3 linked regions of the Saccharomyces cerevisiae S288C genome follow. Changing the gene in region 1 together with any one later gene gives a genetic interaction. Each region holds a gene or a part of one and is shown on either strand. Other genes may lie near its edges.

Region 1 (5,795 bases):
AGTTTACCTTGGAAATATATCCACAAAAGGGAAACGATATTTCCTCATAATAATATTGTAATTTCTTTTTCTTTTTATATGTTTCATTATCCTATACATTACCAATACTTGCATTTGAGCATTCATTAAATCTGATGGGTACATCTCAATCTTTCTGTCATCTTTTTATAGCATATATGGTAACATGCTAGTAGTATGAATACTAGTCGATATACGTAAATAAATTTTCATTTTAAAATGGATATGCCTAATCTGATAGATTCTATTAGCTGATTTTTCTACTACTTTTCATGTTCGTTTTTCAATAATTTGCAAGTTATATATCTTTGCCTCCGCTATACCGTGATGAAGGTTAATGCGTAAGTTGCAGGCGAGGCATGATATGGACCACAACCCAGTTCGAACATAAAGAACTGAAAAACCATGAGCTGTTTGATTAATTCAAAACAGCTGCTCACAATTTGGCCCAAGTTCAAACCTTTGTCTTTGAAGCATGGAACGTGCCGTTATTTTCATGCTAGTGTAATTTTTGCCTGTTTCATCCCTCCCATCAAAAAATTCATCACGAAGTGCTAAAGGAAAACAAAAAAAATATCAAAGAGAGGAGACGGCTTAAAAGCCCTTATTCAATTGAAGAAATCCCCTGACCTCTGCAAAAAATCTATCGTTTATTTTATTTCTTTGTCTTACGTAACAAATTTATTTTCTGGGATGATGTCAATTCTATTTGGCACGCGAGTCATCGTCTATATAAGGAGGTAACGAGGTCCTTGTATATTTGATGATCCTCACTATCAACACGTCGAGGGACGGTTGGTGACGAACTCAACTTATGTTATAGTTTTGGACCACTCTTTTCCTTGAAAAATTACAGGCATTATACGCAGTCCTGGGGCAGGAGCGCTTCGATCATTAGCATAACAGGATCACGGTTATCACCTGTTTTGTTATAATTCATGGCCTTTAGGTCATGACGTAAAATAATCGGAGTGAAAAAATGAAATCAAAGGCTATCATTTTTAGGGGAACTAAAGCACAAGGATTTGAAGGCGTAGTGAAATAATGAATAATAGATAATCTATGGACCGAACACAGACGTATTTAAAGACAATACAAGGCCATTAATTCCCTTCGGAGGGCTCCCGATGGGAGGATTCTTAGCATGCTCTTTCTAGCCAACAGTATCACTTTCATCAGAAAACGGAAGCCTCCAAAAAGCTACGCTAAACGCTTTTTTGTTTTGGATTATCGCAGAAAATTGGTGACATTCTTGATTAAGAATAAACGGTGACTAGCAAGAAAAGGACATGTCAGGTACCAGTAAAGTCCGATTTAAGATCAAATCAGCGCCTTTAAAGAATCTTGAGATCTTAGTAATCCCGATGGAAGGAAAGAGGTAAACAAACGAATAACTTAACCCTTAAGATGATTCTATACATAGCATGATCTATCCAAGGAACGACCGACGCCCTTAAAAGGGTTCTGCTCAGATTTCGTTAAATACCCGGACCATCGTAGATGATTGTTTTTACTCTCCCCTAACGATGTACTATGCCATAATAAGCATTTTTTTTTTCTTTCTTCACTGCAGCTCTGCTTTGAAAACACTACATCTAAGGCGCTGACGCCAACGCCCAGACTAAATCATCATATAATATCAAACGCCCAACAAAATATTAGAAATAGCTCAACAATAGAGCGCCAAAAGTTTACCGGAACGAACCATCATTGTTTACAGGCAAGCACCCATTTGGAAGGGTACGTAAACTAAATAAATAAGACAAGAAATTTTTTTTATATCTGGAATTTCCTTTGCATTTTAGTGATCCCACCATTACAGATAACTAAACCAGGATAAAAAACAAAAATAATGACATTAATGATACCTTAACTAACGTATAGCAAGCGAAGCAACCACCCATCAGATTTTTGTCCCCGTTTGGAAACTGGAATGCTATGACCACTTTTATCACTACAGCTAACCACTTGTCGGAATGAAGATACGAAAGAGAAATCTTTATTGGACCACTTTTTCTTTCGCTAGAGGTCCTACCTAGCGTATTGCACCCAAGTGATTATTGCGACCTCTGAGTGTCAGAAACTTACGAAGTAAAATTCATAGTTGTGCCTTTCGTCAAGAATCGGAAAGCGTAAAAATAGGCTACGGTCTTTGTCAAGGCGAAATTTTGGAGATTTCAGACGCATGATACCAGCAGTTTTTGGTAATATACTTTTTCAGGTAAAAGCTTTCTACGGCCACTGAAAGTAATGCAGAAGCTTAAGGCTACAGATGAAATGGCCGACCCAAACTAACCAAGCACAACATCAATTACAGAACCGACAATCGAAAATCCTAAAAAAAAAGAACATCGAGTGAACTTTTCGTTATCTCAAAGCTTTAAAGTTAAAAGTGGCAGAAGCCTTGGCTATTCTGTTTCTCTCTTAGATTCTCGCACGACAGCATCGAGCGAAGTTGCAAAACCATATATTTCAGTTCTCTAAACGATCTTTCCCCGAACTCCAATCGAAATAGACTTAACCCGCAACATAACTGACATTCTTCCTCTTTTTTTTTTTTTTTTTTTTTTTTTGCTATTTGCTTTCTGCATGCATAAAAGCGAGACTAGCGTATTAACACTTTATCACTTTCCCTCTCTTCCTGAAGCTGACATGAGCATACATCAATGTCCGAACAACACTCTGTCGCAGTCGGTAAAGCTGCTAATGAGCACGAGACTGCCCCTAGGAGAAATGTTAGAGTCAAGAAGCGGCCCTTAATTAGACCATTGAACTCGTCAGCATCTACGCTGTATGAATTTGCCCTAGAGTGTTTCAACAAGGGTGGAAAACGAGATGGTATGGCTTGGAGAGATGTCATCGAGATTCATGAGACAAAGAAAACCATTGTGAGAAAGGTAGACGGCAAGGATAAATCTATAGAAAAGACATGGCTGTATTATGAAATGTCACCATATAAAATGATGACCTACCAGGAACTGATCTGGGTGATGCACGATATGGGCCGTGGGCTGGCAAAAATAGGCATCAAGCCCAATGGAGAACACAAATTCCACATCTTCGCATCTACTTCCCATAAATGGATGAAGATTTTCCTTGGTTGCATATCCCAGGGTATCCCCGTAGTAACCGCGTATGATACTTTGGGTGAGAGCGGTTTGATTCACTCCATGGTTGAAACCGAGTCTGCTGCTATTTTCACTGATAATCAATTATTGGCTAAAATGATAGTGCCTTTGCAATCTGCTAAAGATATCAAATTTCTTATCCATAACGAACCTATCGACCCCAATGACAGAAGACAAAACGGCAAACTTTACAAGGCTGCTAAGGATGCCATTAATAAGATCAGAGAAGTTAGGCCAGACATAAAAATTTATAGTTTTGAAGAAGTTGTCAAGATAGGTAAAAAAAGTAAAGATGAGGTCAAACTTCATCCACCTGAGCCAAAAGATTTGGCTTGTATCATGTACACCTCGGGCTCGATCAGTGCACCAAAAGGTGTAGTATTGACTCATTATAATATTGTTTCGGGTATCGCTGGTGTAGGTCACAACGTCTTTGGATGGATCGGCTCTACAGACCGTGTTTTGTCGTTCTTGCCATTGGCTCATATTTTTGAACTGGTCTTTGAATTCGAAGCCTTTTACTGGAACGGTATTCTTGGGTACGGTAGTGTTAAGACTTTGACTAATACTTCGACTCGTAATTGTAAGGGTGACCTGGTTGAGTTTAAGCCTACTATTATGATCGGTGTGGCTGCCGTTTGGGAAACTGTGAGAAAAGCTATTTTGGAAAAGATCAGCGATTTAACTCCCGTACTCCAAAAGATTTTTTGGTCTGCCTATAGTATGAAAGAAAAGAGTGTACCATGCACCGGGTTTTTAAGTCGTATGGTCTTCAAGAAAGTCAGACAAGCCACCGGTGGTCATCTTAAGTATATTATGAACGGTGGGTCTGCGATCAGTATTGATGCTCAGAAATTCTTTTCTATCGTCCTGTGTCCTATGATTATCGGTTACGGCCTTACTGAAACAGTTGCGAATGCTTGTGTTTTGGAGCCTGATCATTTCGAATATGGTATAGTTGGTGATCTTGTTGGATCGGTCACTGCCAAATTGGTGGATGTTAAGGACCTAGGTTATTATGCAAAAAACAATCAAGGTGAATTGCTTCTAAAGGGTGCGCCGGTCTGTTCTGAATATTATAAGAATCCAATAGAAACGGCGGTCTCTTTCACTTACGATGGATGGTTTCGTACTGGTGATATTGTTGAATGGACTCCCAAGGGACAACTTAAAATTATTGATAGAAGAAAGAATTTGGTTAAAACCCTAAATGGTGAATATATTGCATTAGAAAAGTTAGAATCTGTTTACAGGTCAAACTCCTATGTGAAAAATATCTGTGTTTATGCCGATGAAAGTAGGGTTAAACCGGTGGGTATTGTGGTACCCAACCCAGGACCCCTATCTAAATTTGCTGTCAAATTGCGTATTATGAAAAAGGGTGAAGACATCGAAAACTATATCCATGACAAAGCATTACGAAATGCTGTTTTCAAAGAGATGATCGCAACAGCCAAATCTCAAGGTTTGGTTGGTATTGAACTATTATGTGGTATTGTTTTCTTTGATGAAGAATGGACACCTGAAAATGGCTTTGTCACATCTGCTCAAAAATTAAAGAGAAGAGAAATCTTAGCCGCTGTTAAATCAGAAGTCGAAAGGGTTTACAAAGAAAATTCTTAGAGAGAAGCTTATTACCTTCCCCTTCCATCTATGCACGGTGTCTCGTACTTCCATAGAGCACCGATTAGTGAATACTAAAACTATGTGCGTGATAAATGGTTCTCTTTTACAGATGCGGTAAATCAATTATTGATATACTACATAACATACAAACATGTTTCATTTCCGTAATACAAATTACAATTGTATAATTAAAAAATATAAAAAACTTCGTGATATGAAATCACATTTTGCTATTGAGTTTGCCACATGAGCGGTATACGAACTATTCGTTATTTTATGACTTTAAAAGCCATACCGAAAGTAGGCTTGAGAAGTATGACTACTGTAGGAGTGACCACTACTGTTAAATGCAGATAGCCGTCTTATGCTCTTCCCTTGTTCTTCTGAATTGGGAATGCATAGCTTGAAACATCAATCTTAATAAGGTCTTGTTTGTTTCTGCTTGGCTTTCATAGTAGCAAATAGTTTCGACCTTAATGTAAGAAATAAAAGCAATCGTTAATTTGAGTAAAGATAACCACTCTTCCTCTTCTACTATCAATATAATAAGAATAACGCTTATGGTTTATTTTAGCTTTTTTGAAAGCTAAACATTAAAAAAGAATAAAAATGCACGGCATACCTACATATTTTAAAAACATATATTTTATGATTGACTTTAGCAAAAGTTGGCGCTGGGTACTTTGAGACTCTTTCCTACAAAACGTTACCAACACTTGCTAGTCTAATCTAATCTACTTAATCAAGGTTTTAGTGGCGTACCATGTGACGGCCATCAAATGCCATCAGTTCTACAAGTTCACATATATTTATATATAACTATTCTCCTAACTTGTATAATATTATACCGAGACAGAGGATAGATTCAATTGATTTCACATACCGGATTATGTTCCTTCCCAAGTTCTCAATCTTATTTAGACTTTTTTTTTTAATTACATTGTCGCCCACTTCGGCAGAAAAAATATAACGACAAAGTAATGGCATCGCATCGACCTAATGAAATACTACTGGCAGACGGTA
Region 2 (5,485 bases), on another chromosome or scaffold:
GGTGTCCTCAATGGATAATAAACTGTCTTCTCGCATTATTCAAACGTTTTGTAATTTGAAATACTTAAAACTCGATGAGCTTACGTTGAAAAAGGTTTGTGGCGGAATCTTGCCATTATGGAAGCCTGAACTAATCAGTGGTACAAGGGAATTTTTCGTTAAGTTTATGGCCAGTATTTTTATGTGGAGTACACGAGATGGTCACGACAATAATTGCACATTTTCTGAAACTTGTTTTTACGTTTTACAAATGATTACAAACTGGGTTTTAGATGATAAATTGATAGCACTCGGGTTGACACTACTGCATGACATGCAAAGCCTGCTAACTTTGGACAAAATCTTTAACAATGCTACTTCAAACAGATTTTCTACGATGGCTTTCATCAGCTCGTTAGATATTTTAACTCAACTGTCGAAACAAACGAAGTCGGATTATGCGATCCAATATTTGATTGTGGGCCCTGACATCATGAATAAAGTGTTCAGTTCGGACGATCCTTTGCTATTATCAGCTGCGTGCAGGTACTTGGTTGCTACGAAAAATAAATTGATGCAATACCCGTCAACAAACAAATTCGTTCGGATGCAGAACCAATATATCATGGATTTGACAAATTATCTTTACAGGAATAAAGTTCTGTCATCCAAAAGTTTGTTTGGAGTCTCACCAGATTTCTTTAAGCAGATTTTGGAGAATCTTTATATCCCAACTGCAGACTTCAAGAACGCTAAATTTTTCACGATAACTGGTATACCAGCGCTATCCTACATATGTATTATTATTCTAAGACGACTGGAAACGGCCGAAAATACCAAAATAAAATTCACCAGTGGGATCATAAATGAAGAGACGTTTAACAATTTCTTTCGAGTTCATCATGATGAGATTGGCCAGCATGGTTGGATAAAGGGCGTTAATAACATTCACGACTTGAGAGTAAAGATTTTAATGCATTTGAGTAACACTGCTAATCCATATAGAGACATTGCAGCATTCTTGTTTACATATTTGAAGAGTCTCTCAAAGTATAGCGTTCAAAATTCTTAGAATATGCATCCACATTTATATACATATATATATATATATATATATTATAACTTCCAAAAAGGAGATTGGACAATTTATATCTATAAGGCATTAATATTTAACTATTTACAAGCACTAGTGGTAAATTCATGGCGTCATATGATTACTTGTGGAATAAGAAACTAATCACATTGAATTTCATGACAAATTTTTTGATTTTTTTATTCATCAAATACATTCTCCCTTCCGGTAAGTTCATCAAAGTTTCAATAACAGCATCCCTACCTAATTTCAAAAAGTTTTTGTCAGCCGTGTACATGAATTTGACTCTGCCATTTACCACAATTTGAAACTTTTTGAATTTGGACTCAGTAGTGCGCTCAACTTCTGGCCAGCGGTATTGGTTCCATTCCATTTGGGAGTTGATCATCTCTGCAGCTTCTTCTGAAATTGACGGGACAGCAGGATATATAACGGTTACCAACTTTTGTAAATTCTGTACTATCATTTCATTCCTTACTTCACCTTTTTTCAATGCACTTTCTAAAATATTGGTTAGCTTCATATAATCAGATATTACAGTGTTTAACGATAGATTAACTTCAAATGATTCCGTAATTGATTTCAAGAAGCGTTGGAAATCGTTGTGAAATTTCACTTCTGCATCATTTAAGTCGGTCGGGGTCTTGTAGTCTTTACTTATTGCCAAATCCTTCTCGAGACTGAGAATATTTTTGGTCAAATGAAGAACCTTCTGCAACCAACGTTCTATACCAACAATCTTGGATTCATCCCAATTCAGGGCATCTGCAATTGGACTTTGGAAGAGGATATGTGCTCTCGTAGCATCAGGTCCATGTCTTAAAATACATTCATTTGGATCTGCACCATTGTATTTAGATTTCGACATTTTTTCATAAGAGACTACCGGAACCTTGCCATTTGATTTAATAATCACTGTGTTGCCATCTGGAGAGTCATTTACAAAGGTTAACTCGTCAGGCTTCAAAAATTTACCAGAATCGGGGTCAACATAGGTTTTCCCTTGAACCATTCCTTGTGTCACCAGTTTTTTGAATGGTTCGAAGATGCCAGCAGGGTCGCTCCATGCATTGATAGATCCGAGAAATTTAGCAATAAACCTTGAGTATAACAAGTGTAAGATAGCATGTTCTACTCCACCAATATAAATATCAACCGGCATATTTTTACTTGCAATTTCACGATCAAATGGTTTTGAAGTGTTTTTGGGATCCAAGAATCTGAAATAATACCAAGAACTATCGATAAAAGTATCCATGGTGTCAGTTTCTCTTTTCGCAGGGCTCCCGCATGAAGGACAGGCGACATTTACAAATTCATCGATTGTGGACAGCGGATTCCCTTTTGTATCCAAGCCTTCAAGTTCTGGTAGCTTGACAGGTAGATCACTTTCTGGAACGGGGACAGGTCCACAGTTGTCGCAGTGAATGATGGGTATTGGAGTACCCCAGTATCTTTGTCTACTTATCAGCCAATCTCTAATTTTGTATCTAACGACGCTCTTAGACAGTCCTTCGCTATTCAACATCCCCATTATCGATTTCCTTGCCACTACAGTGAGAACTCCTGAGTGTTCTCCGCATTCTTTGGTTAGGACACCGTCAGTAGATGTGAACGGGACAGTATCAATTATTCTTTGTCTTTCCTGTTCAGTTACTTTTGAAGCATCGTCAAAAAAAGGTGCTATGCACGTCTTGATATGTTCACCAGGACAATTTGTTTGCCAAAACTCAAAATCTCGGTTATCGTGTCCTGGACAACCCATTACTGCACTAGGTGCTGAACCATAGCTGCTGACCACATATGGAGCTGCAAATATGGGGACTTCCTCTTTAGTTAAGGGATTTACGGCCTTTATGTTAGGTAACTGAAATCCTTCCTTCGTATCGTTTGGTAATTGATCACTTTTCTGTATAAACTCTTTTAAATCCGGCATTTCCTCGCAGTATTTTTGTACAATTGGGTGGTCTAATGCGAGAGCAACATACTGTACAGCAAAAAGAGTTTCCGGTCTTGTTGTAAAGACAATCAAGTTTTCAAATTTGGGGTCCGCAACTTTGAACACTAATTCTGCACCCACAGATTCGCCTATCCAATTTTTTTGCATTTGCTTCACGTTGGAAGGCCAGTCCTTCAGTTGGTTCAAGTGCTTTTTCAATTTAGGAGCGAATTTCGTTATTCCCAAAAACCACTGTTTTAGCTGCTTCTTTTCCACAATAGCCCCTGATCTCCAAGAACGGCCCTGGGCATCCACTTGTTCATTAGCCAAAACTGTCATATCAACGGGATCCCAATTAATTTCTGCTTCTTTACGATAAGCTAAGCCATTTTCAAAAAGTTTTAAGAAAATCCATTGGGTGAATTTATAGTATTCGGGATCACATGTAGTTATTTCTCTGTCCCAATCAAAATTTGCCAGCATACTTTGCATTTGTTGTTTCATTTTTGCAATATTGTCCCTAGTCCATATGGCCGGATTAATGCTTCTTTCTATAGCAGCGTTCTCGGCAGGTAACCCAAAAGCATCCCATCCCATCGGATGTATCACGTTGTACCCTTTTTGTTTGTAAAATCTATTCAAAGAGTCGCTAATGACATAAACTCGGAGATGTCCTATGTGAAGCGCCCCAGAAGGATATGGAAACTGGCACAGAATATATTTCGACCCGCTATTCAGAGTATCCTGCTTAGGCAAGCCACGGGTTGTCTTCTGTTTCCATTTCTCCCCAATTGCAATTAATTTTTTCACTGCAGGTCCAGGGCCCCTTTTAGTGGATAGGAATCGGCTTGAAGGTCGAGACAGCATTTTTCCACCGTACACACACGTCGATTTATTCACGTACAGACTCTACAATATAGAGTACTAGCGCCTTGTTTAACACTCTGCTGTGCTCCTTCCTCCAAGTTCTTGATTCTCCACCGGAGCAACAAAACGACTTTCTTCGGTTTCTTTGATTCTTCGCGGAGATAAGAAATGAGATTCTTGGATCAAAAAGTGTGTCAGAGGTAGGGAAATGTCAAGCAAGTTCATGAACAGACCAGGAGTAGTATGGCATGGTATTAAAGATTTTTCTGTGGTATTTGATAGTTAGGCAAAAGGAACATTTTCATCCAAGTTTTATCAAAATTTCTGTTTTATAGTGAAAATTCTAAGTTAAACTTGCCAAAAACGCGTCGCGTATACTAAATTTCAATGTTTGGATCTATCAACATGAATATTTATATTTCATGTAGTGAAGTTCATAATAAGAAAAAAAGACAAGAGGCATATAGGTTCGCAAGAGATAAGTAGCTGCTGTTAATAATAATAAAGAGCATATTCTTGTTAGATTGCTAAATGGTATGATTTCGACTACGATTAGTGGTAAAAGACCTATAGAGCAGGTTGATGATGAGCTACTTTCACTGACTGCGCAGCAGGAAAACGAAGAGCAGCAGCAGCAGAGAAAACGCAGACGTCATCAATTTGCCCCCATGACACAGTTTAACAGCAATACACTAGATGAAGACAGCGGGTTTAGGAGCTCCTCTGACGTGGCCACGGCGGATCAAGATAACTTTTTGGAAGAGTCACCTTCAGGATATATTAAGAAAGTGATCTTGCGAAACTTTATGTGCCATGAACATTTTGAACTTGAGCTTGGTTCTAGGCTGAATTTTATTGTTGGTAATAATGGTAGTGGTAAAAGTGCAATTTTGACCGCCATTACTATTGGTTTGGGAGCCAAGGCTAGCGAGACTAACAGAGGTTCCTCTTTGAAGGATTTGATTCGTGAAGGTTGTTATTCTGCTAAAATCATCCTTCATCTGGATAATAGCAAGTATGGTGCTTATCAGCAAGGTATTTTTGGTAACGAAATTATAGTAGAAAGGATAATTAAGAGAGATGGGCCCGCTTCTTTTAGTTTAAGGTCGGAAAACGGCAAGGAAATTAGCAATAAGAAAAAGGATATTCAGACGGTAGTGGACTATTTTTCTGTTCCTGTAAGCAACCCCATGTGTTTCCTGTCACAAGACGCTGCTAGGTCTTTCTTAACTGCTAGTACCTCACAGGATAAGTATAGCCATTTTATGAAGGGTACTTTACTTCAAGAAATTACCGAGAATTTGCTTTACGCCAGTGCTATTCACGATAGTGCACAAGAAAATATGGCTCTGCACCTGGAGAATTTGAAGTCTTTGAAAGCTGAATACGAAGATGCCAAAAAACTGTTAAGGGAATTAAATCAGACTTCAGACTTGAACGAAAGGAAAATGCTTTTGCAAGCGAAATCGTTATGGATCGATGTTGCCCATAATACAGATGCTTGTAAAAATTTAGAGAATGAAATCAGTGGCATTCAACAGAAAGTTGATGAAGTTACTGAGAAAATTAGGAATAGGCAAGAAAAGATTGAAAGATATACATCTGAT
Region 3 (4,070 bases), on another chromosome or scaffold:
ATATTGTTTCCATGGAAAATGCGAAAGGTATATCAAATATGGTTGTTAACGCTATTTTGCCTTGTTTGACCTTCAACAAAATTGTGTCCAATATTTCATGGAGGGATATAAAGGAGATTGGAGTGATAATACTTTCAGCTTTTATCTTGTTTGTTTTAGGTGCCACGGGCGCCTTATTTACTACATTTGCTACGACTGTGCCCAAAAAATTCTTCTGGGGGCTCATATTTGCGGGTTTCTTTCCAAATATATCAGATTTACCTATTGCCTATATTCAGAGCATGGGTAACGGCTCCATTTTTACTGCTGAAGAAGCTGATAAAGGTGTTGCTTATTCCTGCATTTTTTTATTTATTCAAAGTTTCCTAATGATGAATTTTGGAATGTGGAGAGTGGTCGGACTTGATTTTAGAGATACAAAAGAACCAGATAGTGAGAATATTACTCCGTCAGTAAGTCCCGCTATCGACGATCGCAAACTTACTGAAATAACAAAGTTACCTAATATCACACGTCCTACAAATGCCTATCAATCGGAAGATGCGAGAAGTAATAGCGATTTGTCTTGTAACTCTATTACTACAAATGAAATGACACCGCAGGCATTCTACGAAGGTTTTACTGGCTACATCAAACCCTATAAAGAATCAAATGGTGCATCCCATAAATTTGAAAGTGACCTTCCGCATGCTGAAATATATAGGGTTTCCTCGACTTATTCAAGCCCAGGCGCATTGGAGTTCTCGCGAATAGATGGCAGTTCCCTCTCATATAGTCGTATATCAAAAAATAGCGATGGCAGAAGTTATAGAAGAAAAAGGAAAGCGGATATGAATGAGTTGATTTCCAAATACAGTGCCGCCGAAAAAATAAGGCAAGGTGAATTAGATTTATCAAGACCACTATCCTTGACTGAAGAAGTTGGAAGCAGGAACGCAAGTATTGGTAATGTGCACACTGGTTATACCGATGAAAGTTCCATCGAAGAAGAAAATTGCACTAATATGGCCACCGACGGGAGGGGTAGCCTCTCCTTCTTTATAGAGAGACACAATCTCAAATGGTTGCAGTACTTTATTATAAATTGCCTCAGGCCAGCATCTCTGGGGGCAATACTAGGAATAATATGTGCATTAATTCCCTGGGTTAAAGCATGCTTCGTAACGACATATGTTCACGTTCATAAGGCGCCTGATGGAGAACCTGTTCTGAATTTTTTAATGGATTTTACAGAGTATATTGGAAATGCATGTGTTCCATTGGGGCTTCTATTACTTGGCGGAACGTTGGCAAGATTAGAAATTAAGTCATTGCCACCTGGATTTATTAAATCCGCCTTATTGATGACATGCTTTCGATTAATTGTCATTCCTATTATTGGCGTCCTATGGGTAAATAAACTATATTCGATCGATTGGCTGGATACGGGCATAGGAAAATTTGACATGATATTAACGTGGTCCATGCCGAGTGCTACTGCTCAAGTATATTTCACAGCATTTTATACGCCAGCATGTGGTGATCACATTCAAATGAACTGTTTGTCCGTCTTATTTGTCATGCAGTATGCGATTCTTTTCATCACTGTGGCGTTTGTTGTTACATATACCTTAAAGGTCGATTTAAAAGTTTGATTATATCCCTAGGCGAATAGGTATATACAAGAGTAGCTTATTATCAACTTATATATTCTGTTTTTTCAAAAGTAGCGATGAATTCCAATCGCGTATTTATTCGTTGTATTTATTTTTTGGGGTAGGGTTGTGGGGGGGGATCCGCGTAAGTATATTTATAACAATTCAATAATAATATTGTAGATTTGAAGAGAATCACACATGTAACAGAAAAGCTGTAATGATATTAAGTCAGAGGAGGATGCTGAGTTCAAAGCAACTAATAGAGAACTTGATAAGATACAAATTTCATAAAACACCATATACTCGGAGCTCAATATGGCCTTTCAAAAGAAATTCGGCGGTAATAATACTATTATTCATTGGAATGAAAGGCGAACTACGAGTGCTTTTAACTAAACGTTCAAGAACATTGAGAAGCTTCTCAGGTGATGTTTCATTTCCTGGAGGTAAAGCTGATTATTTTCAAGAAACCTTTGAAAGCGTAGCCAGAAGAGAAGCTGAAGAGGAGATTGGGTTACCGCATGATCCTGAGGTCTTGCATAAGGAGTTCGGAATGAAATTAGACAATTTGGTCATGGATATGCCATGCTATTTATCAAGAACATTTTTAAGTGTTAAGCCAATGGTCTGTTTTCTTTACAAAGATAAATTAGAAAAACATGAGGATAAATACAAAGTTCCCTTAGATATCCGTAAGTTTTTTGGTAAGCTGAACCCTGGAGAAACATCTTCTTTGTTTTCTGTACCACTCAATGACTTAGTTATACATCTTCTTCCTGAAGCCGATGAGGATGTTAAGAGTTATCAAGCAGAATATTTTGAGCGGAAGGAGTATAAGCTTAATTGGGGTGGAATAAAATGGTTGATTATGCATTATCATTTTCACGTAGCAAATAATAACGAAATGCCATGGTTGCAAACCATAGAGGATTTATCAAGTTCAGACGAAGACGGTGTTGATGGAGGTATTTTCAGATTCAGGGATTTGTGGGGACTCACATGTAAAATATTATTCGACGTTTCATGTATAGCTAATGGACTAATGGACGAAAAGTTAAAAGGAGAACTAGGGCACGAAGATTTGATAGTTGGACTACATGACTATGGTAATCAGATGCAACCGAACGGAAGAAGTGAATGGGAGATAGGAATGATCAACGGCGACAGAAACTTAAAATATAGCGATGTGATACCTGAATACTACATGAAGCACCTGCTGGAGTGCCGCTCGCTTTGGTAAAAAAAACTGTGGTATAATGCGTTGCCTAACAATACTCTCAAGAGATAATCAAGATGAGAGAAAAAGAATCATACTGGATGTCCTTAATCGATAACAAAAAGTTTTTAATGAAGAATGACTAATGATGAAATTGTTATACAAATACAAACAAACTACACGCTTGCACATCTCAGAAGTGAAAAAAAAAAAAAGAAAATTGAAAAGTAAATTAAAAGTCATTTATTTTTTATTGCTTAAATAAAACAAAATGATATGTCATATTCTCGATTGGATGTCAACCCAATTTTATTCTTTGGTTTGCCAGCATGATCATCTTCACTTGCAAATTATATAGTAAATAACCAATTAAAATAATAATAGTAATAGAAACAGAAAGTAGAACACTGTTATTGGATTCTTTCAGTTGGAATTATTCATATATAAGGCTTAAGCCAAAGATGGCAAGTTAGAAACGTCAATGTTACGGTTCTTTTGAACGGTGTTAGCAGAGTTAGTAGCGTTAGCAGTGTTGTTACCCTTTCTAGCGCCTCTACCACCACGACGGTTGTTGAAGTTGTTTCTGCTGTTGTTGTTTCTGTCACCGAAGTTCTTTCTAGTGTTAGATTCAACAAAAGTGGCATCAAATTCCAAGTACTCCTTGGTCTTCAATTGCTTAGATTTGACGTTCTTGACCTTGGTTGCTGGAACGTAAGCTTCCTTTTCAGCAGTTTCAATTCTTTCAGCGTCTAATTCAACCTTCTTAGCTTCTGGGACCTTGTTGAACTGGTTGTTAGCTTGTTGGTTCAAGTAGTCTTGCAAAGACAATTGAGCGGTCTTTGGCTTACCAGCGTCTTCAGCTTCTGCAGCGTCTTCAGCAATTTCAGCAGCAGCATCGGCTTGAGCTTCCTTTTCAGCACTCAATTCCTTCTTGTCATCACCCCAACCTTGGTTAACCTTCTTCTTGGTGTCAGTCTTACCAGTTCTAGAGTGGCGGTCAGTGGCCCTTCTGGTGTTGGACTTCTTGGTGGTGGCAGAGTCAGTGACATCCTTTGATCTGTTGTTTCTTCTACCAGCGGTCTTGTCTCTGATAGCACCCTCGTTACCAGAAGGTCTTGGTCTGTTCTTTCTAGCCTTGGATGGGTCAGCGGATGGAGGTGGGACGTCAGCCTTCTTGGAGGAAGTGTTGCTCTTGACGATTTCCTTTGGTGGCAAAA

What was found. Genes that interact genetically often act in the same process or in processes that back each other up.
Region 2: mutations in FAA3 (region 1) and NAM2 together harm fitness less than expected from each alone (positive genetic interaction), as found in Saccharomyces cerevisiae (one large-scale study listed by BioGRID).
Region 3: mutations in FAA3 (region 1) and PCD1 together harm fitness less than expected from each alone (positive genetic interaction), as found in Saccharomyces cerevisiae (one large-scale study listed by BioGRID).

The regions. Positions count from the first base shown.
Region 1 is NC_001141.2:336,660-342,454, forward strand, and holds FAA3 (long-chain fatty acid-CoA ligase FAA3), read left to right. Parts: upstream 1-2,684; coding exon 2,685-4,769; downstream 4,770-5,795. UniProt on the Saccharomyces cerevisiae protein: Activates endogenous long-chain fatty acids (LCFA) by esterification of the fatty acids into metabolically active CoA-thioesters for subsequent degradation or incorporation into phospholipids.
Region 2 is NC_001144.5:880,874-886,358, forward strand, and holds NAM2 (leucine--tRNA ligase NAM2), read right to left. Parts: upstream 3,879-5,485; coding exon 1,194-3,878; downstream 1-1,193. Other genes in the region: CTF3 (Ctf3p), read left to right, coding at 1-1,051; DNA repair protein SMC6, read left to right, coding at 4,415-5,485. UniProt on the Saccharomyces cerevisiae protein: Catalyzes the attachment of leucine to tRNA(Leu) in the mitochondrion.
Region 3 is NC_001144.5:440,522-444,591, reverse strand, and holds PCD1 (8-oxo-dGTP diphosphatase), read left to right. Parts: upstream 1-1,854; coding exon 1,855-2,877; downstream 2,878-4,070. Other genes in the region: YLR152C (uncharacterized protein), read left to right, coding at 1-1,634; STM1 (Stm1p), read right to left, coding at 3,304-4,070. UniProt on the Saccharomyces cerevisiae protein: Diphosphatase (pyrophosphatase) with specificity for coenzyme A and CoA derivatives. Catalyzes the hydrolysis of the diphosphate linkage in CoA to give 3',5'-ADP and 4'-phosphopantetheine. Prefers oxidized CoA disulfide (CoASSCoA) over CoA as a substrate.